Linked DNA regions of Struthio camelus. The protein of the gene in region 3 interacts with the protein of the main gene of each other region in a pairwise test. Links are inferred from orthologs where the notes say so. Each region holds a gene or a part of one and is shown on either strand. Other genes may lie near its edges.

The links.
Region 1: the proteins of NDEL1 (region 3) and CCDC88A interact in a two-hybrid assay, tested with the Homo sapiens proteins (2 studies listed by BioGRID and IntAct). The link is inferred for Struthio camelus from reciprocal best matches to the Homo sapiens genes NDEL1 and CCDC88A.
Region 2: the proteins of NDEL1 (region 3) and TRAF3IP3 interact in binary tests that used the Homo sapiens proteins (3 or more experiments, as listed by UniProt). The two-hybrid records come from large-scale screens. The link is inferred for Struthio camelus from reciprocal best matches to the Homo sapiens genes NDEL1 and TRAF3IP3.
Region 4: the proteins of NDEL1 (region 3) and DIXDC1 interact in binary tests that used the Homo sapiens proteins (3 or more experiments, as listed by UniProt). The link is inferred for Struthio camelus from reciprocal best matches to the Homo sapiens genes NDEL1 and DIXDC1.

What each region holds. Positions count from the first base shown.
Region 1 is NC_090944.1:118,737,644-118,744,728, reverse strand, and holds the start of CCDC88A (girdin), read right to left. Parts: upstream 3,173-7,085; 5' UTR 3,092-3,172; intron 2,575-3,091; 5' UTR 2,160-2,574; coding exon 2,097-2,159; intron 1,979-2,096; coding exon 1,878-1,978; intron 1-1,877. UniProt on the Homo sapiens protein: Bifunctional modulator of guanine nucleotide-binding proteins (G proteins). Acts as a non-receptor guanine nucleotide exchange factor which binds to and activates guanine nucleotide-binding protein G(i) alpha subunits.
Region 2 is NC_090965.1:8,846,207-8,854,046, reverse strand, and holds the start of TRAF3IP3 (TRAF3-interacting JNK-activating modulator), read right to left. Parts: upstream 3,253-7,840; 5' UTR 2,912-3,252; intron 2,718-2,911; exon of another isoform or gene 2,581-2,717; intron 2,481-2,580; 5' UTR 2,343-2,480; intron 1-2,342. Other genes in the region: 11-beta-hydroxysteroid dehydrogenase 1, read right to left, coding at 4,643-4,863, 5,348-5,491, 6,475-6,660, 6,803-6,914, 7,509-7,666. UniProt on the Homo sapiens protein: Adapter protein that plays essential roles in both innate and adaptive immunity. Plays a crucial role in the regulation of thymocyte development.
Region 3 is NC_090960.1:13,233,552-13,241,611, forward strand, and holds the start of NDEL1 (nuclear distribution protein nudE-like 1), read right to left. Parts: upstream 3,137-8,060; 5' UTR 3,085-3,136; intron 2,618-3,084; exon of another isoform or gene 573-2,617; intron 1-572. UniProt on the Homo sapiens protein: Required for organization of the cellular microtubule array and microtubule anchoring at the centrosome. May regulate microtubule organization at least in part by targeting the microtubule severing protein KATNA1 to the centrosome.
Region 4 is NC_090963.1:2,702,513-2,710,560, forward strand, and holds the start of DIXDC1 (dixin), read right to left. Parts: upstream 3,049-8,048; 5' UTR 2,674-3,048; coding exon 2,614-2,673; intron 1-2,613. UniProt on the Homo sapiens protein: Positive effector of the Wnt signaling pathway; activates WNT3A signaling via DVL2. Regulates JNK activation by AXIN1 and DVL2.

The DNA.
Region 1 (7,085 bases), on a different chromosome or scaffold from region 3:
TTTTAGATAAAAATATAACTTCCAGTGCGGTTACATAATTGTGAAATATATTTACGTATATTTCTAAATTAAGACAGTTTCAAATTGACCTGACAACCAAACTCTTAAATTCACATCTTCAATGTGTATTTATTTTATGTGTACGCACATAACTCTTCCTAAATAAACTGTAGTACTCCAGGGAATGGGGCCAAAGATGCACACACAAAGTTAAAGTCAAATTCAAAACACAGCGCTCGAAGCATGGGAATATTCCCTCACTACAACTTTCCATTTGAGTTACGTTTTCAAAGGCAGCAGACTTCCCATATACGTATTAATCAGGTTATACTCTTTCTTAATACTGCAAAAACTTGCTGAGAGAGTTTAATTTCAAGATTGCATTTTTCAAAATCACCTTGTCCCAATTCTAAATTAGGCCTTCGCTTCCAACTATCCAATGTTTTTACTGAATGAAAGTTCTACACCTAGTTTATACCTAAACCAAGTAAAGACATTTAAGCTGTAGAATAAAAATAGGGTTTCTGTGAATGCATCACTTACAATTCTTTTTACAAAAATATGCCAGAAATACACTCAAGTTCAAGATTTCTTACAGAAATTTCTACTCCAAGTTTTCCATGTTTCTCAGAACAACAGAAAACGAGTACTTGGAATTTATACGCACAGAAGTTGGTGACAAGATACTGGTTTTAAAGAATGAGAATTCAGTCTTAAATGTGGTGAGCAGAGCTTTTACATAGATTAGTTAAACATGCCAAACACCAACAGCAAAAAAAAAAAAAATTGAAGTAAGAACTATGAACACAGTACAAGGATGCCTATCACTGAGCAGTGTAACAGCTGTCATTACGAGCTGCTCACACATTGGCGTTATTTATCAAGCCATTCATAAGCCTACACTTACTCATAGCTATGCAAAGAAAAGATGTACTTCTCTGTATAGATCTAAAATACTGGAAAAAATTGAGATCTTTCTTCCACGGGTAGCAGTTTTATGATTATATTGCTATGCACTTGACAAAAGTGTTATTCGCTAGCATTACAGTAGTGGGCAACATTCCAGTCAAAACTATGATTAAAAAAAAAAAACACACACACAATACAACACACAGTTGACTATTTCTGTATTTCTATGACTGGAACTTCTTGATCTACCTGCCTTCTAAATTACATATAAATACATAGCTTGTAATATCTTACATCAATAAAATTACATAGCAAGCTTTCTACCAATCACAGCTTTCAATAAACACTTGTAGAAAACATGTAAAAAGGTTTCTTCTGTGGTTTGCAACCCAAAAAACATTCTACACTATCAAATAACACTTCAGCTTTACTACACAACTTCTATTTACTCAAACTTGGCACTGTGAAAAACAAAGCGAAAAGAATTACAGAACAGCCCATTTGGTTAGTAGACAACATTACGCTGACTGACATACTATCCTTAAGTTGTATACCATATGAACTAAGATATGCATTAGAATCTTATTAACCAAGCAATTTGCTTAGAAATTTGGTTTATGACTGCGACTTACAGTAGAACGAACCTTTATGCTTCTAAATGGAAATCTGGGAAACTGCATTTACAGTGATTCAAGCGCAATTTTCCAGTAAGTTCTAGATATGACTTTGCCTGTATTACCGTATACCTCCTGCAAATACATCATTTTGGCATTAAAAATACTGTACTGCAAACAAATAAAGAGTATCTGGAATGCTTTAAGCCACAAGACTACTTCAAGCATAAAATAAAGAAGACATTTTTACTAACATTGTTATTGAAGGTAAGAAGAGCTTTCCTAAGAAAGTAAAATACAGAAGGGAAGACAACAGTAATAACCAAATCCAACACACAACTCGAGTACACTCACATTTGCAGCATGACTTCGTTCAGAAACACGCCATCCACTAGCGCCACATATTCCTCCAGGTTGGTCCCATTTCCTCCAGCTAACGGTCCAAATGTCTTAACCTAAAATATAATCATCAACACTGTGACACAAATTCCATCCTCTTCTGTGCAGCAAGGCATTTATCCTCAAACAACAAGCAAATACAAGAATAACGTGTAAAGAAAAATTAATGCTTACCCAGGTGACAAGAGGGCTAGACATGAACTGCTCCAAAAGGGGTGTGAATATTTCGCTCTCCATTTTACAAAAAAAAGGTTAGCATCAATGTTGCTCCTCTGATGCAAAAAATATGAGAAGTCCTCCACTGTAGCAACTTGCTAAAACACTGAGAGGATTCAGCTGGAGTAAGCAAACCCCATTTTTACAAAGCAGTGCAACAGCAACAAAAAAGTCGGTGGCAAGTAGGCTCTATCTTCCTCTTTCCAAATAAAAAAAAAAAAAAAAGCATTTGAAAGTCCATCTACATGTATTTCGGCCTTTCCATTGATGTCTCTCCCTTCCTACATACTGAAGGGGTAGAAGGAAGAAAAGAGGGAGGCTGCCTAGCTACTAGGATTCTACATCAGACAAAAAGAAAGGAAGGAAAAATCTGCTTCAGCAGCGGTAGCTCCTCAGAAAGGAAGGAGAAAATCCAGTAAAACTCTGCAAGCTCATCCTGCCCCGTCCCCACCAAAAAAAAAAAAAAAAAAAAAAGACGAGGTTAAGCGAAGAAGAGGGGCATACACCCCCACCCCCACTCGGCGCTAAGCCCCTCAGGCTGCTTCTGCACACAAGAGAATGACCCCCCCCCCCCCAAATGGCACAGGCAGCCCCAGAGAGGACACCAGCCCCCAGCAGGGATCAGAGGCTATTTTTAATTAGTTCCCTTTTCTAACCCCTTCCCTTTTCCACTAAACTACGACGCAACATAGGGACAGGACCGGCACACGCCGCCTCTCCCCACAACCTCGCCCTTCCCCCCGGCTGGCCGCTCCCCCCGTCCCCGCCCGTCACAGCTTTCTCCTCGCCCGCCGGCCCCTCCGCCGGGCTCCCCGGCCGCCCCCCAGCCCCTCCCGCCTCGCTCCAGCGGCTCTCCCGCCCGCCGCGGCTCTGCAGCCACCCCCGAGCCTCAGGCTCCCGCGCCCCCCGGGCCACCACCTCCCCTTCCACCCCTCCTGCCAAATAACGGCCACCTCGCCTCAGCCAGCCGGCCCGACCGCGCCGCCTCAGCCGGCCCTCCTCCCCCCCCTCGCCCACGGGCGGCTCCACCGTATGGATCCCTCCGCCCCAGGCCGCCTCAAGAAAAAGGTTATCCCTCCGCCAGCTCGGGTCCCTTCCTCCCCCGCCCAACGGCCGCTGGTGGCTGGCGGCGGAATTAAAAAGGGCCGGGGGGGGGGGGGGAGGGGCGGGGCACCGTTGCAGCACCCGGCGCGCACGAGCGCGGCGCGCGCACTGCCGCTGCGGCGCTGGCGGCGCGCGAGCCCAACGGCCGCGCCGTGCCTCGCGGGGGGGGGGGGGGGGGCGGCGGGCGGCCCGGCACCCGCAGGGGCGGGGGTGGGGGGCCAGGAGAGAAAAAAAAAAACCTCTTTGGCTCCCGTTTGGGAAAGCGAGGGAAAGCTCGTCGGTGAAAGAAAGAAAGGAGGAGGGGGGTGGGGAGGGGGAGTTGCTAACGCCCGTGAAGAGGAAGATGGGGGATTCATCGCTCCCTAGGTCGAGAGCGGCGACCCGCAGCCCTCACCGTGCACTTCAGCGATGCGGGGGAGGGGGGCGCGGGGGGTCTTCCTAAGATGAAACCCAGACACACCCCCATTAACACAAAATCCAGCTTTCTGGAGGGATTTAGCAGGGAAAGGGGAGAGCGGGGGGGGGGGGGGCGACCTGGTTACAGAAAAGCAAACGATGACAAGCAATTTGCTTGCCTAAGCTATTGTCCTTAAGCCATCTCTTGCCACTTGTGCATTTCAAATCTCAAGTACTGCATTAACATACGGGATGGTATCTGCTTAATAGATTATGTAGTTTATTCACAAAGCATTTTACAAAAATCTCAAACTAAATCCATCTTCTCTTCCATGTAATATAAATTAAATTGCAGCAGCATTTTCCCAAATACCTTTACTTTTGCACACACACAAAAGGACAAAATGCAATAAAGTGACTGAAATTCAATGTTGGGGAAAAAAAAATCCAAGTAGAGTAGCATCTAAACAGATTAGTTTTTCTAACCCACATGTCTGGATGTGGTATTTATCCTAACTGTTGAAGATTAGGAAAAAAAAAAATCCGCATCAGTGACCTTTTCCCATATATATGAAACTGAAGAGAACGTTTAGGAGTAGCAAAATAAACTATGGACCTTGAAATATTACTATGCAATTTGTATTTTATGCATAAGAAGTTGCAGGAAAGTGGCTTTGTTTTGATTCTTGCAGTGAGATTTCTTTTTCAATAAAATCAGGTCTTCTTTTTCCCCCAAACTCGATCTTTGGAGTGAACTCGTGACTAGCCTTCCTGTGAAACAAGAGAAATAACAGAAAGCAAAGGGAAAACTACAGTCTTGGATCAAAATAGGAGTCTGGTGATACATGGGTGAAATAACTGCCAATAAACTACTAGCCCTTAAAGACAACTACAAAAGCATTTTTGTAAAAGCCTGAATAACCAGCCGCGAAGCTCCCTGTATCTGGCAACAGTATATAGTACACAATTGTGCATGCAATACTATGGAACTTCCCTGGCTCATCAGTTTTTCTTGCAGGCTCTAATTAGGCAACAGTGACTTGGGCATAAAACATTTTCTGAGAATTGAAGACTGGCCAGTAGGAGTTGATAGCCCAAATATTAGCTACATGCTAATAACAGCAGCTAGCTAATCAATTCCTGAAAAGTATTTTATGCTGAGTTGGTATATATATTTTTAGATTAAATTCTGATTAAGCAGTTCTAAATATTTTTAGTTTTAGGCAGGTTTTTATATAACCCATAATTCACTTTGCACACAGTCTCAGTATTGCTATTGCTCACCATTCCTGCAGTCAGACTACTACATTTTAGATAAATATTGCATCATGTCTTCTTTGTGAAACATACTGTAAACTGGCTTAGCCCAACAAATGATTGCTTATAAAAGGTGGAGATGAACACAAGAGGAAAATTGAAATTTCAGAAAAGGTGCCCAGAAACAGTCAGGTTTCATTTATGATTTTTTTTTTTTTGGGTAAGACTAGCAGCCCTAAAAAACTTGTGAAGAAGCTTTATCGTTTCTGTAACGTACACCTTGTCAAACTGTAAAAGAATTTACCTCATTTTCAGTGAGATAAACCCTCACGTCAGTTCAGAATGCATTGCTGATAGGGTAGCTATTTACCATGTTGTAATAGCTGCAAAAAATTGGACAAGCTAGGGGTTGTTCAGTTGGCTTTACCGTTCATCACATCAGTGCCTACATAAAGCTACTGGCAGCCTCTAGACACCAGTGCATTGCTGGTACCTACCCTAGCGAATCCCTGCTCTCCTGGCTCAGCTTGAGCTCAGCTGCAGAGCCGCGCGAGATGGTTATTTAAAATGTAGCCATGCTGACAGGGGTGAAACTGGGTGTCATAGGATGGGGAGATGTTTGGTTTTGATTTCTGAACCCTCTTTTGACAGAGCTTGCTTGAAATTAACTAAAAGGGAGAAAATTTGAGGTGTTTTTCTAATCCCACACTGAAAACAGAAGGCTTCCATTTTTAGCCTAGCTGTCAGGAGTTTTCAGGAGTATTAGTCTAGGAAATTTTTAGAAGTCATGGCTCCGCTTTAAGGGGCTAGGCAGCATCACTGTAATCTGCAACCTGTGGGTTGTTTGGATGCACTGGTTTTTCTTACTTTTTACCTGGAGAGACTCCACAAGACAAGCTTCATGGCCACCCTTATAGGAACAAATGCAGGAACTTTGGCGTAAAGATTCAGTATCAGCTGTAGAACGTGGCAACCTGAGTTAACTGGCTATTTAGGAAGCTCAATTCAAAGTCTTGTATATAAAGCCATAAATAGTATGGGTTTGTTACAGATTTGTTTTCTCCCTCATCATCACTCATCAAAAGTAACAGGAATGTAATTCTTTCGTCGTCAAGGGCCTACAGAATATTATTTCTTTTCACAATATTTTGTAAATACCTGTAGCGCTAGATGTTTTCCTCTTCAACGCATCTCATGATCATTCAGGGGAAGACTCTTGACTGGGCAGGTGAGTAGGAAGACAGTGTAAGCTACTGTTCTCCTGCAACACTATCTTAAATGAATAAAGCTTCTCAATATTAGAGTTCAGTTCTGCACATTCCGGTCACGTTTATAACATTTTCCAGGATCACATCAATTGTTTGCTCCTTTTAAAGCTAGTATCTCTTTCACTCCCAAGTCCTCATTCCTCAAAAGGATACAGCACTACGTGTTTTATAATTAAAATACAATTACTTCTTTACATAGACAGTAAAAATATTTAAGTATAATCTACAAATATTAATATAATTGCAGGTAATGTGAAAAAGCAGAAAGTAGTCCTGTCAGCCCCAGGAACAGTGAAGCCTGGTAGCAGGTGGTTGCTTTACGTCCCCAAATATGAGCTGGCTGAAATGCTCCCCCCACCCCAAGGTGGCGCATCCAGATCCTCATGTGTCTAATGAGGTATATATTCAGACTGGTACTGTGTCCTCAGTTAGTGGACCAGTGGGCCACCTAAATTGTAAGAATCCATCTTTGCTCCTCCTCTCCTACTCCCAGCACTCCCAAAGATCACTCACTCATAGTTTTCAATTTCTGTTGATTTCATTAGGACATGTGCAACTCTCCTAAATGGTATGATTCAGTTTGAAATTGTCTCCCTCTTCTCCTTGGAAAGTAAAATACTGTATTTTGGCTTTAGTAGAACTGATAAGATAGTTGGAAGCGTTCCTTCACTTTGAAGCAACAGGAGGTAGAAACATTAAGTTATCTGTAGTGAAGCTTTAAATAGTTCAATTATTCCAGGGATGCACATTCAGGAATCTTTTGGAACTGTATAAAAATTACACTTGTTATAATTTGTCTAAACGCAGAGAAGACAATCTTGTTCTTTTACATTTCCATTCTCTGCAACAGACCTGTCAGAATTTAATACAGTGCGTGGCCTACAATTTCTGAAAGCACAGTTTTAGAAATTAACCTTGTTAA
Region 2 (7,840 bases), on a different chromosome or scaffold from region 3:
CCTCAATCACATGGATGCTAAACCAGGGAAATGCTTGGAACAGAAATCCAAAAACGATTAATTAACCTTATGAAGCTGGCTTCATATCCAAGCATTATTGCTTCCACTAGTTTTTTTGGGAGAACTGCTTTCTTGCTGAAATAAAATTCCTGTGTTATTCAAACTATTTATTTTTATTTTTTGTGCACACTGAACTTCATCACTGCTTCTGCTTACAGCCCTTTAGCTAACCTAAAGAAAACACAGGAAGAACAATGGCTACTGCTATTTCTGTAATGAAGTTTTTAAGTGTGCATTTATTTTGCCATTTTTTTCTCAGTAAAAAAAAAAAAGGTAAAAAAAATAGTAAATATAGGTTTGCTATTGTATAATTTACTTTTCAAGCAGTTGCATGTATTTCTTAGTGATGGTTGCCTTTTCTGTGTGCATAGAGGTCTGGAACACTGAAAACAGTGTTACAGAGATGTTTTTCAGTGGAACATCCAAAAAGGGCCCAAGAGATCTAAGCACCCAGTTTCTAAAAACCCTAGCTAGCCAGTGCTTCTTTCTTTTATCTCTGTGTTGCTCCCTCCCCTTCCCCAGTATTTTGGCTTAGATGGCTGCTAACTCTCAAGGCAACCTTTTCCACCCCCCTGTTCCTCCCATGATCTCCAAGGGAAAACCAGCAAATCCTTCTAAGCCCAGGGGAAAAAAATTAGAGCTTTGGCTGCATGCAGTGGAGTTCAAACTCTGCAAAAACACTTGTGAGACTGGCGAACCTCAAATCGCCAATCAAAGCACAAACATGTAATTCCTAACTCCAACTTTTGTTTAAAGTTGGACTACTTTCTGTTCTGCATCATATAGGAATAAATTCCCCAATTCAGTGTGTATTTGAGTGTTTCTGATGCTAATTTACATCAGTGTAAGTGAGGACTGGAATAGCTGTGTTGGGACTGTGACAATAATACCAATTGGGCTGAGGGAAACTTAAGGTATTGCTTAGATTATTTTCCGATAATAGGGTCCAGAGGCTGGAAATGGAGATCTCTTCCAGATGTCATCTTCCATGTTAAAGCAACTCGTGTGCCTGGAGGGAGCGGTCACAACAACAGCATGTATCTTTGCAAGGCAAGGCTCCAATGTCTCACCCTATTTTTTGCTGTGACATCAGAATGCTGAGGCTTTTGTCTTTGGATTGGACCACTAAAGGTATGATAGTAAAAGCTATGTGCAACACTTCTGAAGCAACTGTTGGTAGCAGTTATTAAATGCGTCTCTGCTAGTTCAGTGTCCTGCAGCTGGCTGCTCTCAAAGCTTGGCAAACTGAAAGATGGTTGGCTTCAGTAGATCACTCGGATGCCTGGCAGGCCTTCCGTGCTCCTGCTAACTTTCCCTACTTGCTTTTGTATCTGTCATCAATTCTGAGTATGAGAAGTATTGTGGTGTGGGGTTTTTTGTTTTGTTTTAATGTAGGATGGAGTATGGAAAAAGAAGAATTTTAGTCTTGGAAAATCCAGGTTAAATCTTGCTAATTGTCAAACAAAAACAACAATTGCATTGTCTCATTTTGTCTCAAGCAATTAAGAAGTCAATGAGTCTAATGAAAAAAATTAATTTTTTCTGTGTTTAAAATCTGCACCGTAATACTCTTTATTGGCTTTTATTCTAGATGTGGCATAACCTAAGCATGTTACCAGCACTGCCTTTTTATAGGGACTTCCTTTCAAAATGAGAACAGCCTTTTTAAAACGATCAGAATAGTTCTTGCCTTTAAACAGAGGAAATGCATGCAAACTAACAACCAGCATATTGCTTCAAATGCTCAGCCAGCCAGTCAGGAAAACGAAGATTCAAAGATATTGCTGAAATTAATCACTTAACTGAAAGATTAGACAGCAGTCTTTTTTGTATTCATATTTGTTTTAATATTCTGTTCTTTGAAACTTAATAGATTCTGAAGTGTCTCTAATTTTAGCCTAAATTTACAGAACAATCCCAACAGTATTTCACTACTCAGATGCTTCTTATTGTAATACGTAATTGAAGTCTGGGACTCTAAAAGGCAAAACATATTATTTCCATACAGCTTTCATGTCCAAACCATAATTTCATTGTTTTCATTTTGGGCCTTTTCTCTTCTTGCTCACACATGCGCTTTTCCTTAGCCCAGCAGGCAAGGTCTGGCAAACAGCTTCACAAAGCAATATGCCCAACAAACCTCCCTTAAAACCTGAAGCTGGATATGAAACCCTTATTTTGGGACAAAATGTATATATACAGCCAAACTTGCTCCAAACTCTTCAGGATCTGATAAAAGCATTTTCAACTTAATTTTCTTAACTTAGAAATGACTTAATTACATGCTGAATCGGGGCACTGCTCCTCAGACATCCTTCTCCCTTCCACGCTCAGAGGCCTGGTCGGTTAAACTCTGTCCCTCTGTAACAGCGCAGTCACTGTCCCACCTGCTCCACCTCTGTGGTCTGCAGATCCTGTTACTGTGCATCCCAAGAAAAGCTTTTATAATATAGCTGGTTAAACAAAAATATGTTTTAAAGCAAGGCAGAAACATAGAGAAATACACAGTCCGTTACTTACCCCACACTAAGCAAACTGTTGAGGCATTCTTGACAAGTTAATGTTTTATTTTCTTCTGTCACTTAAAGTTACCCTCTCTAATTAAAAAAAAGTGTCCTTTATCTTTGCTTTCCAAGCTGCTACACTTCTCACTTCAAGTGGGAAAAAAAAACGGAAAAAAACAAAAAAAAAAGTTTCTTGTTGGTTCATGTTACAACCTCCCAGTGTCAATCATGTAGGCTGAGACCAGGGAAGGGGTGTGGGGGGGGAAAGGCACATGCTGCCGCCTTTTAACTTGCCAGCCTGCTGTTCCTGTCCATCCTTAGCTAGCCCCAGAGCTGTAGACACTTACCTCTGTCCTGTAATGCTAGCCTCGAAGTGAAAGAACCGAAAATGAGTTCAGTCCTATTCCACAACCTCTGTGAAGCTTTGGCGGAGAAAAGGGTGAGCGCTAGATTATCAGGCACAAACATGCTCCAACTGCCATCTTCGTTCCAACCGCTTAATTTTGCTGCTTTTTTTTTTTCTTCTCTAAAACAGGAAATGTATAAGCCACAGTGCCTAACCCTGGTTCCTGTCTCTGCTCTGAGTTTGTAGCATAGGAGAAAATGCTGCTAGGTGCAAGGCAGTGCTGGGGCCTGGCTCAGTATGAGATTTGGGTTATGTTGTGATGCGAGAGGCTGCAATTTCACTGTTAGGGCCAGCAACTACCTTCTGGGCTATCTTTCTTTATCAGTCTCTGACACTCTGAGGTTGAGTGCTGGTGCAAGGAGTTGTTTGTGGCGCATCGTGACTGAATCTTTCCAAGCTGCTTTGAGTAAAGAATGCAGACTTAGGGAAGTACAGTAATGCTATTATTTTAAGGCTTCTTGTAGATTGGAAAAAGTGTATTTTAGCAGCTGAGGAAAGGTCACGAATGGCAGAAATTCATCAAGGTCTTTACAGAGAAGTGAAAGCTGTGTTAATGCAAATCATGTAGAGAGGTTGGTTTAACCAGCTGTGCACTGGTAAAGGTTGTTTGTATATTCATGTGGAAGAGGAGCAACAATAAAAGTATATTATAAAGTAATATGAGATTTCTTTTCTAAAGACCAACCTAGAATGGGTACATGACCAAAAAAATCCAATTCAAAGACCCTCTTGTATAGCTTTGTCTGTGAGGTTCATGCAGTTCAGCCTAAATCCCTATTTGGAATGAACTGAGGCCCCTTTCCCCTTTGCTTATTAACCATGTGGCTCCCCTTTATAATCCTGTTCCCCATGCCCCCAATCTAAATCTTTTTTGTTAATTTTTTAATATAGCTTTGACCAGGTCACTAAGGTATTAAATTTTTCAGTCAAGCTCCTATGAGTCTCCTTGTCTTTCCTGCAGAAACACTGGAGTATGGCTTGTGGGTTCAGCTCTCTTTCACGTTAATTGCCTTTTACTTAATCTCTTCTTCTGTGACAGGGATGTGATAAAATGAAGGGAAAATATACGGCAAAAGCATATACAAATATCAGAAGGCCCAGGATCCTAGTTTGTATACTTCTCAAAACATTTTAAGTTTTAATGACTTGCAGGTTTTCTAGTGAGGGAATAGTTTCTAGACGTTGAACTGCAGTAAGGCACAAAGCTTAACTTTATTCAGGCTGGAGTGGCCAGCTGCCAGCAGAGAAAATCCACTGATAGGGAAATTCTGCTGTCAGTACACTTTTCTGAATTGTTTATTGATCAGAAAAAGCTAGTTACAAGAATTTGTTACTAAAACAGACATTTGCATGCTGTGTCATAGATTTCTGATATGCCTTCTCTTAAATTGACAGCTTTGAGGAGGCCCTGTGTTCCCCGGCCATGTTGCTTTCAGAAAAGGTCCATGCGCAACATCATAGGGCGGGATTTTTTTTTTTTTAAACATCTGTATGAGTGGGGACACAACTGCTCAGATGTATCACTGTGAAGCCACTCTGGTGACATAGCAAACAGCACCCAGAATAGCTGGATTAATACCAAAATCGTGTGTCCTGCACAATGTTCCGCTGTGTTCCTGTGGCCTCATGCTGACATGCTTGCTGCCTTAGGAGGATCCACTGTGTCCTATAGCTACTTTTTTTTGATATTTTCCACTTTAAACTTGTTTCTTATGAGAGAATCAAGGAAGTCTGGAGCCCAGTCTCGAAGGAAGAGCAGACTCCTCATGGTTGAGTATGGATAGTATAGCTCTCGCTGGCGCAGTGCTCCGCTCTTGATGATCTCCAGCGCGCACTCCTCCTTTGGTGCGGCTGTCCCACGAATCGCATGGGGAATGGTTTTCATAGCACTTTCTAGAGAGAGGAGAGCAAGAAAAAGTGATGTCAGATGGAGGGAGGCTGCAACAGGTACTAGAGGCTCAAAGTTCAGAGGTATCCATGGCTTCATTTAACAAACTAATAGAAATGCTGGGGATCAGGTTTATTTCCTAAAGTTTAGAATATGTACAAAATTACAGTAATATCCTTCCCATGCCTTTCCAACTCTCAACTAATTCTAGAACCAAATCCCCATCTCCCCTGAGTTTATTACAAGGATAGTTGAGTCAAAGGTCTGGGACCGCTTTTTTTTTTTTTTTTTTTTTTTTTTTTTTTTTAAATGTTGAGCTCCTGTTTCCAAAATTGTGCCGCCACTTAAGGGCTGAGGTTTCAGCAGTGCTGGGGAAGTAGAATACTGGCAGATCTGGAGTGCTTTCTTCTGTCTAAAATGCCTTTTCTGACTTAGCAATGGGTGTGCACAGCTCCTAAATAGTGAGGCCTAGATAAATGTCAAACTTACCAGTATCAATGAGGCCCAGGACACAGAGTGTGATGGAAACATTGACATTGTCAGTGATGAATTCCTGTCGCAAGGAGCTGAAAAATCCATCTAAGGCAAACTTGGTTGCAGAATAGGGAGCAATAAATGGTATGCCAACTTTACCTGGGATGGGAGGCAGAACGTCAGTGTTCACATATTGCACCAGAGTACTGTCCTTGGAGTAGCTAAAATATTTAGATTTAGAGTGACTAAGTGATCTATTCTGAGTACTTGAGAGAAATAAATATATGAAAGGATGTTTAAAATGAGGAGGAGAGAAACAAAAGTTTTCCTAACTTAATTTTCCTGTAGCATGTGACATATAGTGACATGAAGTACATTCAGTTGTAGGTGATACTGTTCTTCCGTTCCTGCATTACGCATCCATGTGTAGCAAATGCATAATAAATGGCCATGCACATAAATAACATGCAGTGGCATACCATCAACTGTAATGCATAGTATTTTTCTTAGTTTGAAAGTTAGATTTAATGCTGAAGGTATGCTGCTGTGATAGGCCCATCAGTTTTGTGTAGTCCTTGGCCTTTATCAGAGAATGCTTTCAAGGCAGGTTTTGTTGCTTTGATGTTAAGAAAGAACCGACGTATAACATCTGTCTTCAGCATTTGCTATCGCTGCTTAGCAAGATGTGGGTTTTAGCAGCCCCTCCCTGAACTTCCTGTCTCTGGGCTTAGAGGTACAGCTCCAGCTGTGCACCCTTCATGGATGCCTGTGGAGCTGCAGGAAAGAGAGATGACTTGCATAGTTTTTAATCTTCTCATCCCAGGTTTTGGCAGGAAGTTCAGCTAACTGCAAACATAGGACCTCAGGAGTGTGTATCCCTCCTTCATGGAGAAGACAGTGGGTAGGTTGAGGAAGAATGGGGTGTAAACTATAAGTTTTCCAGATGACTTAACTTGCACACTGGGTGCACAATATATACAGATTCCAATCCCAGCCAGATAACTTCCTGCCTTATGGTCCTTATTCCCTCCTTTGAGGAAAAGCTGCAGATGGGATCCCTTGCAGGCAGTGGAAGAGGCTTAAAATCGGAGAAGAGCGTGGCACTGGCTGCCCTGGGACTCCCTAGCCTGTCTCGTGCTCACCTGCCATGGATGAAACGACAACAATGCTGCCATTGCTGCTCTTTAGCATTGGTAGGGCAGAAACAGTCATGGCCACGTAGCTGAGGAAGTTGGTCTCTAGGAGCTTTCGTATGTGTCCGACATCCCCATTGAAGTAATTGAGATAGCTGTGACCGACGTGGTTTAAGATAACCATGTCAAGGCCTCCTGGAAGCAGAACATGTTTGTTATGGGCAACTTGCATCCTCAAAACAAAAGCCTTTACTTGTTGGCTAGAACACCTTGAAACATAACTTGAGCAAGGGGGGTGTTGGAGGTTAATGAGGAAAAGGCAGATCCCACCACATACCCCAGGCTGTCTCAGCCTCTTTCACCACCTCCTTGGCAAATGCTGTTTTCTCCATGCTGCCACTCACATAGCGAGCAGATGCTGCACCCAGCTTGAGGCAACGCTCCACAACCTGTGACGGCAGTGAGAACAGTGTTAGACACAGGTACTCCTGTGTCAGCTCCCAGCATCCTGCAAATGCTGTAAGCTGTCTTTTGGGCCAGATAGGAAGAGCATGTCTTTCTGCCCATTGGTAACTGTTTTGACTTCATGGGAGGAGATGTATTGCTCATATAATTGTTTCTGGCTGCAATGAGTTAAACAGTGGCACATCTGAGCCAAATATTTAGTGTTTATAGAAGATACTGAAAAGGGATATGACTGCTTAGTTGATTCTGTTGCATACTGGGAACCAAAACAATTCAGACTTTGACAACCATAAGGGTTGATCAGACCAAGATCTGGGCAGCCTAGTATTGTCCTTGGTGGTGATCAGCGTCTAAAACTGCAGACTGTGGAGAAAAATGCTGTGCTGTCAGCATTGAAAATACAATCTAAAATGGTGTGAGGAGTTCCCCAGGTTCATGCTGGGGAAAATGGAACAGCGAATCTCTATGGTATCTGGCATCCTCATGTGCTCTGGATAGGGTGAACATCCATGCACTTTTTACCTGTGGGATTCTGGATTGTAAAACTTAGTCTACTTGATGTTATGGTGGCTGGGCACCTTGGGAGTGCTCTGTTTTGCATTTACTTTCTGCAACTTGGCCTCCGTCCGTGCTGTGATCAGGATATGGGACCTCATGCGTGCCAGGTGATAAGCCATCTGCTCTCCGATTCCACTGCTGGCGCCTGTGATGATGACCCGTTTCCCTCTGAGCATCTCTAGAGAGTAGGACACAGCATCAGACCCCTAGTGCAGGCCCATGCTGTGCCTGGCAGCCCCATGAGCCAGAGTGTTAGTTCTCCAAAGCCCTTGAGAGCAGAGTCTCCTCTCAGCCTATTTCACCTTTGTTCCCAGATAAAGGGATCAGGGAAGCTACACGCAGAAACACTGCA
Region 3 (8,060 bases):
AGTCTCTTTTCTCTCCACTTTCTACCTTTTCTTTCTCTTCTCCTTCCTTCCCCTCCCAACTGAGCTATTATCTCACACTTCTGCAACCTCTACATGGTCAGGAAAACCTGGGCTTTACCCTCAAGAGCTGGGAAGGAAACTAAATCAACATGGCTCAAAACACATACCTTCACATTTGTAATTTGCAACAGCATGCAAGATCAAATCTTGGCATGTGTAAGTCAAAAGGAAAATGCCTGGTATTTGCCTCGACATATAAAACATGAATATAGAGCATAGCAAGGTCTAGGTCTGAAAGTAAGAGAGCATCTTTCCAAGGCAGGCGCAACATTACTAATTCAAAAACCAAACTATTCACCCACACCCGTCATATCATGTTCCACCATAATTATCTGGCACTATCAGGACAGAATGCCTGCACACAGTCACAACACGACTGACACATCAAATTTAAAAACAAACAAACAAAAACCTAAAAACTTCAACTTCACTCTTCTGCCCTAGTACAACTGCTTCCTATTATAGTCACAAATGCCTCCAAATAGAGCAATGACCTTGACAAGGCCACTTACCTCTATGGTGTCCAAGACTTCTTCTGCAACTTAGAATTTCCTTAAATGTCCAAGTAACTGTTTTACTGCAGTTTTGCACATTTAATCACCTCTTTGAGGAATAAATGCCACAGACCTAAGAGAGCACTATTTGCACTCATGACCAAGTTTCACAGGGAACAGAGAAACCCTGAGTCACTGAACACTCCCAATGCAAACCGATAGAGAACAACAAACCTGGGGTACGTGTGGGTGAGGACAGCTCTCCTCGTCACTAGTAGGAAGGAAGGGTATGTTTTAATGGGAAAAGACATAACCGAAAGCCTAACTCTAGTAATGTATTTTCTCTTGCGTCAACTTGTTCATCCTTTATGCCATGTCTGGCACAATTTGGGCCAAACTCACACTGGAAGGCATTGTCTGTTCAAGTTTGGTTATGCTTATACAAAATAAAACAGGCCTAGCTAAGCTTAGAGAGAATAATACCCCTCCCCCTCCCAAAAAAAGTAACCTTCACGAAATTCCTGGAAAAGTATTTACAGACAAATATTGCAGGCATTCGATCTACTAACTATTTTATGCAATCTCTGCAAAAGCAACTATTTAAATTGTGACTGTGAGAGAAAAGCCCATGACAGCAAAGTGAAAGCATACTTGTAACTAACTTCATCACAGGCGAGCATAAATTAGCATTTCCTCTGGCACACTGCGTAAGGGGTCTTCTCAAACCCTGTCCTGTGGGCCACCTGACGTGCATAGACCAGACCATGCCAGCTCTCACAACTTTCAACCACTTCCCTGAGCAGCAAGACCCTTCACCACAAAGAAGAGAACGGTGGCGAACCATACGCCCAGCTATCTGTCTTCTACCGGAGCTGGACAATGAAAAGACACCTCCTTATGGGACCAAGCCACCTACAAAATAGGCACAGGAAGTATAAAGAGAGCAGCAGTGATTCCTGTTTACAGCCAGGCAAACCACATAGCTTACTCTGCCGCATGCTTTACATACACGCACACAGAGGTAAGTCCTTCTGCACTCAGAAATTGCTCTGAGGATGGGGTGTAGTCAAAAGCAGACTGCTGCCATCAAAGCTGTCCTGGCTGCCCCCTTCCCCAGCAGCAGCACGGGGACAGCCAGGGAGCATAGTTCACTGCATTTAAGTGGACAGCCAGAAAAACAAGTGTCCCCTCATAACACATGTCACATGACAGAGAGATTGCCGCACGGTCCCAACGAAGATGAGATTTGGGAGTGAGTCACTTAGTCTGAAATTCGTTCTCCGCTTGTAGAACGGAGCACAGCCAGGAATAAGTCCCGAGCTGGACAAACTGCATGTATGTCGGGCAATTTTGCCTTAACGCATCGGAATTCTGCAGTCTCACTTGAACGCTTGCCCCAAAACTGCACCGCTGGGCTCTGAGACGATGCGTGCCCAGCTCGGCTGAATCGTTCTCAAAACGTTCTTCCTTCCCTGTTCAGACACTCGATAATCCGAACCAGGCTTGCCACTCTTGAGACACCTTTGCAGGCTCAGAGATAACTTTCAAGAGGTGTAACAAGAGGAAGCAAAACGCGATAGCGTAGTCAGAAAAAGCGTTTCCTTTCAACGAGTGCAAAGAGGGCGGCCAGCCATGAATTATGAACTGCCTGCGCGGAATTAAGTAGCGGGCAGCTTCCAGTGAACTGACAGGCACGGATTAAGAGTTTTATAACACAACTACCTTCCGGGAAAGAACCTACTAGTAGAAAAGATATTTCAAACCAAACGTCGTCCCAGCCATTTTCCCCTCCACGCTAAAGCAAAACTGCCTTTTAAACAAGTTCCCTCCCCCAAAGGCCACTGCTCGCGGGCAGCCAAAGTTCACGCCACGCAAACCGCGGCCTCTCTCCCGCTGAGGAAACACCTCGACGCCCGGGAGGCGGCGGCGGCCACCCCGCCGCGGGGGAGGCACGCGCGCGCAGACAGAAATAGCCCCGCGGGGGCCCCGCCGCCGCCCCGGCCCGGCCCGGCCCGGCGGAGGCGGCCGGAATCCCAGCGCGGTTTCCTCGGCCACCGCCGGGCGCGGGCGGCGCCCCCCACCCCCCCATCGCCTCAGACGGCGGCGGCGGCGCCCCGGGGAGGGGGAGCGCGGGGGGCGGGGGGGGGGGAACGGCTCGCGCAGGGCGGCGGCCGCGCGGGCAGGGCCGGGCCGCCGAGCGACTGGCACGCGCTGTCGCCAATGGGAGGCGGCGGGGGCTCCGCCGCCGGCCAATGGCGGGGAGGGAGGGGCGGGACCTGCCCCGTTGTCAATTTGCAGCCAATCGGCGGAGGGGTGCGGGGCAGCGGCCCCCGGGACCCCGCTGCCCTGCTCGGTACGGCCCGGCCCGGCCCGCCCGCCCGCCGGCCCCCTCCCGCCGCCGCCGCCGTGAGGCGCCGCGGCCCCTCTGATCCCCGCGCCGCCCCCGGCGCGCCGGCACGGCACGGCACGGCACGGCACGGCGCGCTGCCGAGCCGCCGCCCCACGCCGCCGCCGCCGCGGCCTCACTCACCCGGGCGCATCCCCTGTCACAGCCGCAGCATCCCCGCCGGCTCCCAAACCTGCCTCATCCGGGCACCGCGGGGGGCGGGGCCGCCGCTGTGACGCGACAGAGGGAACGGGGCCCCGCCCCTCAGAGCGGGGCGTGGGGAGGGGCTAAGGCAGGCCGCGCCCGCGGGAGGGCGGGGCCGGCGCTGGCACCCACGTGGGGCGGTGCCGGGACGCCTGGGCCCCTGCGCGGTGCCAGGCCGGGGGGAGGGGAGGCTCTGGGCGCGGGGCCTGGCAGGGCTCGTCCCCCCCCCCCCGGGCTGCCCGCGGGCCGTGGCCCCTCCGTGGCCCCCCCAGAGGCCCGGGCTGCCCCGTCGGGTGGGTTTGCGGGGGCCGGAGCCCGTCCCGGGGCTCCGCGGCAGCGCGGCCTCGCTGCGCGGGGCGACGTTTGCCACCCGAGTGGGATGGAGGCGGATGTGGGGCCCACGGGGACGCGTCCGCGCTGCCGGGAAGGGCTGAGAGCCGGTGGCCGCCGTGGGGTTTTGCGGCGGGCTTCCTCAGGGAAACCGCGGCGAGGCGGCAGGGGTCGGCGGAGCTGCTCGGCGGGGCTGGCCAGCCCCCGGGCCGAGAGCCCTCGGCCCTTGCCGCCGCGCGGGCCCGCGGGCCTGCGTCGCTCGAGCGCTCGCTTTACCTGAGCGGCCGACTTCGCTGCGACGTCTCGCAGCTTTTTTCTTTGTTTGACTTAATTTTATCTTTAGCTTATTTTGATGATGTAGCTGAGAGAGAGAGAGAGAGAAAGAGGCCTTAGCAGAAGAAAAAGCACCAGGGATGACTCCAGCGCACCCGTAAGGCCGGACTCAAGGCCCCGCTCCGTCGCCCTGCTGCTGGAGCACCGAGGTCCAGCCGCTTTTCCCCCCCTCCCCCAGCCCTGCTGTTACTTCTGCTGCTATCAGACAGACGAGCAGGTGATGCCTGCGGGGTTTTTTTGCAGAAAGGAAGCTGGTAGCGGGTAAGACAGGAGAGGGAGGCCCTAGGGGGAAGACCGAGTTGTTGTCGGGCTGCAGAGGGCGATGGCGTGGGGTCCGCGCGGGGTACGGCCTCCCCTCGGGCCTGACGCCTCTCCGGACTTGCGGCTGCGCGGTGAAGGTGCAGGAGGAAGAACCGCTGCCTGCGTTTCTGCTGCTTGGGGTGGACGGAGCTGAACGGCTTTGCCGCGAGCTGGCGGCTCAGCCACGCTACGAAAGCACAAGCGGAGGACGGGAAGCGGTGCTGGAGACGGGCTGCAAAGCTGAAGTCCTTTGCTTACGCCTCTCTGATCCGGCGACAGCCCCGCAGTCAGGTGTGCGAGCAGGCGAGGGCCGGCGGCGCGCCGAAGCGCTGGGATCCCAGCGGGCGTGGGGCTGAATTGCAGCGTGGGTTGCAGTCCCTTGCGACCGTGCCCTGCGGCACGGGCTTGGGCTGGGGGTGCGCGGGTGACGGCGAGCCGGATGTGCTCTAAGGAGATGCCTTTTTCAGTGGAAACCACCGGCCTGTCCAAATGAGAAGCACGTTCTTCCCAACAAAACTTTCACTGGGGAAGTATCTCGGTGCCGGCGCGCAGTGGCTGCTCAGGATGAGGGACGAAGCGACTCCGTGGACCAGGATAATCACTGTTTCCAGAGGGAGGGGGACATCCCGGACAGGCCTAAACCCATGTCCAAATCGAGCTCTACGTGAGCACGTTCATGATGGAGCTGTTCCAGGGCCGCTTCTTGGGAGGGAGGTTCTGGGTGTGTTCTGATCTCTTGATTCTTGAGACTCAAAGTATCAACTTTGGCAAGAAAGCCGTTTTCGACCCATCCAGCTGGCTCTCCATAGCTCCGAAGCTGCTGCGTTCCCGTTCTCCCTGGCTACATCTGCGCTAGTAAATTAAACAGGCCCAGGCCTGCTCTCTGGGAGGACCCCTGGCAGCGTGGTGTGTGTCCACCCAGCTCAACTCGCTGCCTCCCTAGCAGGGGGATTTGCCTATGTGTCTTATGGACATCTGTATCCCCGAGACCGTGCTGTCCCCCAAACTTTGCCAGCATCAGGGATAGTGATGGAGGCACAGGCTGCAGGCATGCTGACAGTTACCTAGTGTGAGATGAGTCTGTTGGGACTCAGCTCGTGCCCAGGCCCCGGAGGTCCTAATTTTGTTAAGGCCCCCCTGCAGATTCAAAAGCTGGCTTCTGCCCTGGGTGGGCTCTGGGATGCATTTGGGCACAGAAAATCAGCCATAGCATCCCCACCGCAGCTCCTCCAGTGTTCCGGGCAGAGATCGAGCCCTGCCAGCGTGTGGAGGAAGGCTTGAAGTCAGCCTGGCCGCTGCCCTAACAAAGTCAGCACTGATTTCATCACGGTCCTGGACCGTACGGAGGCACGTGTGGAATTTTCTATATTTAGACTGAGAAATTGCCATCGGTCAGAGCGGAGAAGCACTGCCTTTCCCTGCAGCCATGCTTCCTGCGCTCAGCAAGAGAAGGACACGGAGAGGTCAGAGCCAACACCGGCCTCCGACCCATCACAGCGGAGCAAACGGGCCCTGTTTCACCTCACCAGAGCCTCCTCTCATGTTCTCCATCCCTGCTGAGCTCTCCCCAAAATGCCCGTTCACTTCGCTCCCCATCCCAAGGGGCTGGGTCACAAGCGTGTTGGTCCTCGTTTGGATTGAGAGCCCCAGCCAGTTGCTGATGGGGTCCTTGTGCCCTGCGCTGGGAGCCTTGGTCCCCAGGGAGGATCTTGGGGGGATCCCATCTCCTCCTTGGAAATGCAGAAGGTCCTTCAGCATCGGTAGGGGGTCCTGGACCCCCATCAGTATTGGTGCATGGGAACTGGACCGTGACTCCCTGAGGTGCCAAATTGCTCCCCTTGACAATTCCCATTCCCACCTCTTCCTGCTGGCCTTCCCTGGGGATGGGACAACATGCCGCGCGTCCCACCCTTCTCCCTTCCTCCCATTGTGCTGTTTCCTATCTCTGATGCCTTGTTTGGGATCGGTTACCATGATATCTCCCAAGTCTATGTCCTCAGATCCCCTCGGTGAGGCAGGCAATAGGGCACTGAGACCGTGGCCAACGCACTAAGCGACTTGGGCACCGAATGCCCATGGATGTGTATGAATTGGGCACCTAAGTTCCTTTAAAGGGTACACCTGAGGGGCAGGAACACCGCATACCCAGACGAGTGGTAGAGAAGGGATTGGACTCTGTTACCACAGGGTTGCTCCAGCCACTGGGCCATCCTTCCTTTTCACCCATAGCCTTGCAGTCGCTACGTTATCCTCGCGGCGTTGCTGTGTTTCTGTCCTGTAAGAGCCCCTAGAGCGGGGAAAGTCACTGTATAGGGAGGCTTTTTTAACTGTTTAAGTAACCTGCTGGCCCCAAGCCAAGTTTGGGGCAGCTGTCAGCCTCTGAGATGGACTATCACTGCTCATCCCGTCCTCCGTATTTCCTGGTGGCTCCTTCTCCAGCAGTACCTGCCAAATGTGTTCCACGGTGTTTGCAACACGTGCCCCACGGTGTTTGCAAAATGTGCCCCGTGGTGCCTGCCAAATATCCCCCATGGTGCCCGCCAAATTTGCCCCACGGTACCCACCAAACATGCCCCATGGTGCCTGCCGAACAGCCCTCTGGAGGCCACAGCTTCAAGGGCACGGGCGGAAAGAGGGCAGGGTGCCCTCCGCGGTGGCTCCTGCACAGGAGCTGCCTGGCAGCTGGACTCCCAGCTCCTTTGCATGAACCTGATACTTAGGTTTCCTTTGCATATTAAATTTGCTTCCCCCTGTAATTAGCCAGACGGCCTGTCATTAGCCATGGACGGTGCTTTCGAAAGGCCCCACGTGCCACCCTCGCTGAGGGCCATGCCTGCATGCTGCCGGCAGCGTGGGGAAGCTGCGTTTGAACCTGTGGCCATGCCGCACTGCCAGCTGTGTGACAGCCCGCGTCCTCTGCGGGCACTACGCCTCTGAGACCATCCTCTGTATAGTGTTTCCTGATAACCTTTTCTCTGCCCGTGTCCCACTAGCCATAAGCTATGGGTTGTCCAGGGCTGATGGTCCCATACTCTTCTCCAGGGAAAAAAAATCCACTTTTTACCATGGAGGATGGGGATGGGCGTTTTTATACGCGCCGAGGACAGAGTGCAAGTACAGCTGCCTCCCAGGTCCCGCGGTTCAGTGAGCACCATGAATCACCCGTGACTCCTGTACAGGACTTTTTGGGTCACCTTGTGTGCTCCGGCTATTGCACAAGCTCAGGAACGCTGCTCAGCAACTTCTGCACTGAGCCCAGGATATGCGGTAGGACCAGAGCGTGGCTCGGAGCCTCGCGCTGCCCCTGAATGAAAGAGTGGAGGTGAAGCCACAGCATCCCGGGGGAAGCTGTCCCGGTGGTTAATTCCAGGCAGGATCTCTGCTTGGACTCACACCTCTGGGAAACCCCCAGGCCGGGGGCTAAGCGCATGGTTTGGGGCTGTGGCTGGGGAAATCCGCTTGTCTCCTTTGCCCTGCTTTAGCCTTGGTTTGCAACCCCCCGCCAAGGTCCTTGGCCCCGGTGGAGGGGTTGACCAGGGGGCTGAGCAGTGGCGGGAGGCCTGGCTGGAAGAACGATCCTCTTTCCCGGCTTTCCAGGCACCGTGTTGCTCTGATCGAGGGGTAGCTACAGCCGGCTGGGTGCTGTACACGTGCACAGTCCAGCTCTGAAGCAATTCTGAAGCAATCCAGCCTTTCTCGCTGCCTTGTAAAAGCTGTAAGGGAAATGACTCATGCTGTCTGCGTCGCGTTGTGCCTTGTCCGCGTGCATCCCGCGCACTCTTGGCACAGCGCTTTCCGTCACTTGTCTGATTACAAAACGGCCCTGCGAGGTAGAAAGGAGGCAGAATATGATTGTCCGCTAGGAAATCACTGCAAAGTTGCCGGCACCGAATAACCACCTATTGCAGCAGTGCCTGAGTATTATTCCCACAACGGTGTACGGAGAGCAGGGT
Region 4 (8,048 bases), on a different chromosome or scaffold from region 3:
TGGGACTGAATTATTTAGCTGTCTCAGAGCAGCATAAGACTCTCTAAACAGCAGGGAAGCACCTTCAAGGCAGGATATTCCATTAATGAAAGAGGGACAGGAGCTGCGTGATGCCCACAGGGGAGTTCACTCCCATTTCAACATTAAACAAAAGTTACCCTGCTCTAGACGTCTGCAGATGACACCCTCCGCAACCATTTTTGGCCCAGGGACTCTGAAAGGGAAGGGAAATGCACAGCCCTGAACTTGCAATTTACAGGTCCCCCTTTAGCAATCTGTGATTATGTTAATCATGGAGAAAGCACCAATCTGACAGGTTATCTGTGAAGCAGAACAGGCATTAGCTGCATAAGGGACAATGACGCTGCATTCTCCATCCTTGCTCAAGAGATAACGAGGCTGCCTGGATGGCCTTCAGCCAGCAGGACGCAGAGAGGGAGGATGCAAAGAAACAAAAGAAACTTCTCTGTAGCCTCTCAGCTGGGTAGAGTAACTTTCCAGGCATGGATTATAGACAGACCAAAGGTGCAAGACAGACACATAACCAACATCCCTAAAGCAAGAGAACTAGACCTAGCCTCCAGGTCCCAAGCATGTCCAGGGTTGCACCTGAGCTTAGCACCTATACCCCTATAAGCTTGCTAGCTACTTATTTATTTGTGTGAACTAAACTTCTATGCATAGATTTGGAAAGTATGTCCTTATATTGCAAGGTACCTAGTCACAAAAACAGCCACCTGGCCACAAAAGATGCTCTACCAAAAGCACAACAGACATTGAGTTAGCAAGGCAATTCTTGCAATTTGCTACTTGTGTAAAATTGTGTCCGACTCTCTCGAATTTGTTTTCACACTCAAACGTTATGCTTAGTAGCCACCCCCAGCCTTCTAACACCAGAATCCTGTGTTGGGATCGGACACCTCGGGACACTATATCACATCTGGGGACTTACGTAAGCAAATAACCACATAACGTAAAAAGCTGGATAGAGGGGGGAGTATGACTGCTGGATCAAAACAGAACACAAGGAGTTGCAGGGTTTCTAGTTCATTCCCAGCTCTGTCAGTGATGTGATGTGGGTCCTTTGGCAAGTCACTTAACCTCTTTGTGCCTTAGGTTTTACACCTGCAAAATTGATTTTAATTTGCCTTTAGTTATAAAGCGCGTGATGTGGCCCAGTGCAGAGATCCCAAGTAAGAGACATAAGGGTGAATCTCAGGTTTTACCGTGGCAGCTGGGCAGCCTCTGGGTAAAACCAGACAGACGGGGTGGGACTAGCATTGAATGTAAAATTGCTCTTTGTTCCCACTATTAATATAACGGTTACTGTTAGCTTACGCCAGAGAAGAAATTAATGCCCTCGAAAACAGGAATTGTAAATCTCTACAACTTGAACTAAAGCGATACCTTTGCTAGCTAAAAACGAGACTGAGGTTCTCTGAAGAGAAGGGGATGGAATATTTACACAGTTGAGCAGAGCGTTAAAGGGAGACCTGTGGCTGGCATGACGCTGTGAGGTTCAAGTTTCATACCTCTTTTGTTTTGCCTTTGATGACTGGTGCTGCTACGTTCGGAAGGGATGTGCGTTTGCTGTAAAGAATGGAGCACGGGGGCTCCACAGTCAGATGGTGTCAGGGCCTTGCACAGACGAGGAACCACTAAACACAACCAAAACAGGATATGCGCTCCAGGAAAGAGTAAAACACACCAAAAGACCATCCCCTCCACCAGGTGAGAAAGGAAACAGCAGCCACTATTTGCTTCCAGCGCAAGCCCCCACAATTTTCCTTCCTTCTCAGCTTACAGGCACGAAATGGTGCTCCAGCGTGGTTTGCGTGATGAACTCCAGGCAGGCAGTGGCTGCCCTGGCATTTTGTACCAAGTCCACAAAGAGAGAGTCCAAATCAACTAACTTCTTGTGCACCCTAAAGAGGGAAGCAAACAACAACCTGCTCTCTCCTTGCAGTCTCAGCATTCCCATCTCTGGAAAATTTCTTGGCAGTTCTCATTCCTCGTTTTATGATTTACCTGGCTCCCTGACAGCAGAATAAGCAAATAAAGAACACTTGAAAAACGTTATTTTCCTGACCAAGCTGAATTTCACTCCCCAGAAGTCCAACCTACTGAACAGGATGGAATAACAACCCAGACAGGCTGCTCTGTGTCAGCCTTTCCCAAGAACCGTGTGTGTCCACACAGCAGATTTGTATACAGACTTTCCAACAGCTCTCAGGCACAGAGATCTCCTAGACTCAAGACTTGAGGCGTCAGCGCTACAAAATAATCCATTCCCCATAACCTTACAGCAGCTTATAGTATTTCTGATACAAGAATAAAAAGGTCTGCAAAGAGTATAAAAAATCTGAGCTAAAAACATCAGCTGTAAAACAGTCACAAACTCCTCAAAAGAACTGCTGTTTTGCAGACCCCTGGCTGAGCTGCCCGGTATGCTCTTCTGTTACTAAGCATCTCTCCCTCTCAGCAATCATGCTCATTTCCTCCTTTTCTGTTTCTCAGAACGCTAGGAGACATACCAGTTCCTGAGAGAAGCTGCACAAAAGAAGGCTGCCTAGCCCTGGAAAGGTCTGCATGAGGCTTGGGACATGCATTTACCTCCGTGAAGCCCTCCTGCAGGATATCCAGTAAATTCCCCCTGGCCAAACAGGCGAGCATTCTCCACGAGCCCACCGAAGGGCGAGGGTCTCAGCGGACGCAAGGCAGCTCCTCTGGCTCAGGGCACGACCTCTTCCTCCCAAAGACAAAGAGTTGGAGCTGGAGCTCATCAGGAACCGTATTCATAGTCCCATATGCGCAGCCCGTTGCTGCACGCAGGATAGTTGAGCCAAAGTCAGGGCTTGCACTGGGCATGCTCGTGAGGGAGCTGCTGGGGGAGTAGCAAGCTAGATGTCACACGGTTCCTATAGAAACGCTTCAGCTTACAAGATGCAGGCCCAGGACTGAGTTGGGGAAACATCTGAAACCTATTTCCAGCGATCGTTCTCACGCGGAACCTGCTGCGTGCAAGAGATTTTCAAACCCACCAAACACAGCGAGCTCTGTGCGGCGCGGGGGCAGGGAGAGAGCAGGAAGGAGAACGGCAAATAGCAGATGTCTTGCTTCATTAGAAAAGTTAGAGGGAAGACTAGAACAGCCTCCAGCTTTAACTCTCAGCCAAGGGTCAGCAGCCCTGAAGAAAGAGCAGCGTTTTCAGCAACCTCTGGAGAGGCAGGAAACTGCAACCAGGCTACAGCATAGCTAGTAACATTTACACAGTATCAGGCTTTACTCTAGCTGCCATGTAAATAAGTTGAGGAATTAAAAAAAAAAATAAAAGAAAACTTTCCAAATAGAATTAAATACGATTGCCAGCAAGGTTTCTAAAGCAATAATAATTGCCTTCATTCCAGAAAATAGCTACCAAATATCTCCAGACAATCCCTCAAACTTCACCTCATCTTAGAGGAAATGCCCAGGGGAAAAAAAAAAAACCATGAAAAACCTCCAAGAATGGCCAAAGCCACCTTCTGCCAGAGGCTCTGGCTGCTAATCCACACAGCAACAGTACAAGTACTGTCCAGTGACATTCAGGCTGTGCCTTCAGATTTCATAATATTTGGTTTTGATCAAGCATTTCTAAGTGAGAAGACACATTTGAAAACAAACATGTTTTTCAGCCTAAGTATTGGAAGGATCTGGAGGAAAAAGCAATGGCAGAATTTTATCATGCTAATATTCTCTCCACCACATCTGGAGAGATGCTGCTAAAATTCAGAAAGACAAGCAAAAGGTCATTCATACTATTACCAACCCAATCCATTCCAAAAGGAGCCAGCCACCTCCCCCCCCAAAAATACGAGTTTTAAATTACTTATTCATGTTTGTCTTCCTTATGTACTTTTAATAATTCAGTGTGGACTAGGATTTTTATGTTATCATTGATTGTAGCATCACAGCTGTTAAGCAAAATAATAAATATTGTGAGGCTTTGCATAAAATTCCTGAGAGATGGCACTGCTGATGGTTCGCACCATGATCCAGCCTGCCTTTGAGACTCAAAATGGCTAATTAGATGGCAATAAATAGTTATCCACAATTTGTACAATGCAATCAAGTAGACTGTGCTTTTGCAATTTCAAGCAAATTTCATATATAATCTGAATAAATGGCTTCCCCATCAGATAGAAAGTGATCTCATTGGAGCCTTTTCTATGGACTTTACAATGGTATCTTGACTAATGTTCTCAAAGAAAGGTCATATTTACTATCTGTTTTTCAGTGCTACATAGTAAATATACATTCATAGTAGATCTGTAATATTAACAGGTGAGAATGCTAAGGTCAACCCTTCCCTATACTGCTTGAATTTATGGAATAAAGAAAAATAAACTCAGGATGTACTGAAGTAAAATCAAATTCACTCTGTACGGAGAGGTGGCAGATGGCAGTTAGATGTCCTCTATTTTTAGAATTTATTTTATGAATTTGATGGCAGATTAAATATTATATGCTTATAATCCTCACGGGCTCCAGATATTGGTACTTCTCCTTTGAAGAGGAGAGAAACCATAGGCAGGCAGTCCCTAGCCACAGATTTTACACTGGAGACAGGACACAAATTCACAGGATTTAAAAAATAAATAAAAATAAGAATAAAGAGATAATCTGTTCAAACAGCACAGAAACACGAAGCACACGCAGGATTTAATTTGTAAAGGGTATTGTTTAAATCACGATAAGCTGATACACTGAGAAAAACAGTTCATTTATCACGATCCTCAGCGGCATTCAGTAGGTGTCCTGTTGCATTAGCAATGGGCAACAACGAAGCACTTACTATTAGTGCTCGCACTCCATCATGTAAGGAGTGCAAAGCATTTGGGCAACAGCAGGATACAGGGACTGCCATTAAGTCGCTGCTTGCTGTGCAACCTATATTTGACCATAGAAGCTTTATGTGAGGTTTTGACAGGTATCTCTAGGTTGTCAGGGATGCAGATTGGCTGTGTTCAGAAGTCAGACACTGCTATTTGATCACCTAAACTCAAAACAATTCCAAGCTCCCAGTACAAGCTCTCTGTGGCACCAGCCCCAATCAGAGCCTCAGTGAAAAGGCAATCAATTGGTGCCAATTTCCTGGTACGAATGAGAGGACCTAAAGCCAGATATGTCACCCATAATACAGTAGTTCGATCCCTGAGAAATGCAGAAAGACTCGCTCAGCTGAACACAGTAGTGGAGCTGTGAAGAAGCTGCTTTGGATTGGAGAGACTATTCAGATTAGAAGCCCTCCACCGCCTGCCTTTTTGGATCACCAAGAAAAGCTGGGAGTGAAACACGAAATTCAGGTGCTTCCTCTCAGTCCTGCATCCTTATTGTGGACCTTCTACCTACTAGAACACCAACACAGCAAAGGGCAAGGTGTTCTCATTAGTGCCAGGTTCAGGTGCAGGCCTGCTCACAGTGTTATTTTCCATCAGAGATTTTGTCATCAAAGATTTGCTTCTACATGGGGCTTCTTATCTCTGAAACAGAATTGCCTCATTTTGACAATATGAATGTCAGAGACTAGAAACTAGGCCATTTCTGCTGGCTCGACTGAGAGGCAAAGCATGCTGGGCCCTTCTTTTGTTTGTAACAGTAACACAAACGCAGCTGGGAGAGTGCTGAAATACCTTTTTTAAATTATAATCCATCTCTCTCCTCTGTGTTTCACTCTCATTTTTGTAGCAGGAACCATGTTTTTCTTTCAGTTTTATAGCATCATACAAGAGGCCTTTGAACACTAACTTTGCAAGAAGCAAACAAAAGGGCTTCTCAATAAAAACTAATGCTTCACAATTCTCCCTTTCAAGATTGACTGTTAAAATTCCCTGAAGGTAAATCCAAAAGGAAGGGGACTGGGCAGTGATGTCTAAAGGGCCTTGGCGTCTACTGTTCTGCGTGTGAGTGATCTTCAAAACAAACGCATAGGATGTCAGTTTGGTTGGTGGCATTGCCCTCTCCTGGCCAATTTCAGCATAACCCTTGTACTTTCCTACTGTCAAAGCATGGGCAAGGTATGTTGCTGTTACTTCTCCATTTCACGTTTTCATAGTGTGACTGTCGTGGTGTCACAGCAGCACCACCCAGCACAAACACCTAAGCCTTCCTTAAAGCCTCCCATCCAAGGACTCTAAAACACTTTATCAACATTCACTAACTGTTCCTCTCCACAGCTCTTAGGAAAGAGAGGGGGATCCATGGCTACACTTTGGATCTCACTGATAAGAATTTGGGTGGGGAAATAAGGCCAAATGAGTTGGATTCTGAACCAAAGTATGCGAGGCCACAACTGCAGGAATAGCAGAAAGAGCTCCCTAATGCAACCAATGCCTTCATGTCACTGAGCCTCTTCCCCCTGCCAGCATCCAAAAGAAAGGACAGGCCCAGTAAGGACTCCAGAAAACTTACAGAAGATGCAGCAGGCTGTGACGTGCGACAGTGAACTACATCCACCAGAGTTCCCATGGTGGTTGCCACGACTTAAGTCAATGCTAAGGGGAATGAATGTACCAGTGCTCTGTCTTCCTTGAAACCTGAGGAGGAGAAGCAAATGTATTAAACACAAAGGGAAGAAACTTCTTAGGGAGAAGAAGCCGGGGCGGGGGGGGGAACTTACTAAGGCAACTCCTTAATTTAACCAGAACAAAGGAGGAAAGTTGCCATCTTCTTTCATTGCCTTCAGAAAATATATTTAAGGGCTACAGTCCTAGGACTTCGGGAAAGTTACACATTTCTGTGCCCTATTTCACATGTGAACTATGTACAGCAGACAGAATTCCCTTGAAACATATGTAACATAAGGGTTCCTGGTCACATTGGCTCATACTGCACAAAGGATCTAATTATTTCTTTACGTGTGTAAAGGGGGAATCCAAATTCAGCAAAAGCTAAAGAAGCTAGGCAGTAGGAAGTTTGTTTGCAGGAGCCAACTTCTACTGTTCCCTACTGTCAAATAACCAGGCTATTACTCAATTCAGTATTAAAGGACCCAAGATCCATAAATAATATTAGGAAACAATTCCACATACTGACTTATCTGTATTTAAGAATTTTTAATAATCTACATTTTCATTTGCATAGTCTTCTTTTAGAAGTCTGAAGTAAAGTCTGGTGAAAGGAAAAGCGGGGGAGTTCGGAAGAGCTAATAGAATGCAAAATAGTAGGAGTACTTTAGATAGACTCATCAGAGTAGGAAAAAAAAGGATAGCTAGAATCATTGTTTTTAAAGAACACTTAGAGGTGAGCAAGAACGTAACCCTGCGGTGGCTGGTTACTATTCTCTTTGGTGTGCCATACCAGCCCAGTACTGCTGGGCTCAGAGCCCAGGGAAGGGGGCCGGGATCCGGCAATGGGGTGGTTCAGGGCACAGGGAAGGGGAAAGGGGCCAGGATCCCCCACAACAGGGCAGCCCGGGGTGCAGGGAAGGGGGCCTGGATCCCCCACAGCAGGGCAGCCCGGGGGGGCAGGGAAGGGGGCCGGGATCCCCCACAGCAGGGCAGCCCGGGGGGGCAGGGAAAGGGGCCGGGATCCCCCACAGCAGGGCAGCCCAGGGTGCAGGGAAGGGGGCCAGGATCCCCCACAGAGGGGAAGGGGGCCGGGATCCCCCACAGCAGGGCAGCCCGGGGGGGCAGGGAAGGGGGCCGGGATCCCCCACAGCAGGGCAGCCCGAGGTGCAGGGAAGGGGGCCAGGATCCCCCACAGAGGGGAAGGGGGCTGGGATCCCCCACAGCAGGGAAGGGGGCCGGGATCCCCCACAGCAGGGCAGCCCGGGGGGGCAGGGAAGGGGGCCTGGATCCCCCACAGCAGGGCAGCCCGAGGTGCAGGGAAGGGGGCCAGGATCCCCCACAGAGGGGAAGGGGGCTGGGATCCCCCACAGCAGGGAAGGGGGCCGGGATCCCCCACAGCAGGGCAGCCCGGGGGGGCAGGGAAGGGGGCCGGGATCCCCCACAGCAGGGCAGCCCGGGGGGGCAGGGAAGGGGGCCGGGATCCCCCACAGCAGGGCAGCC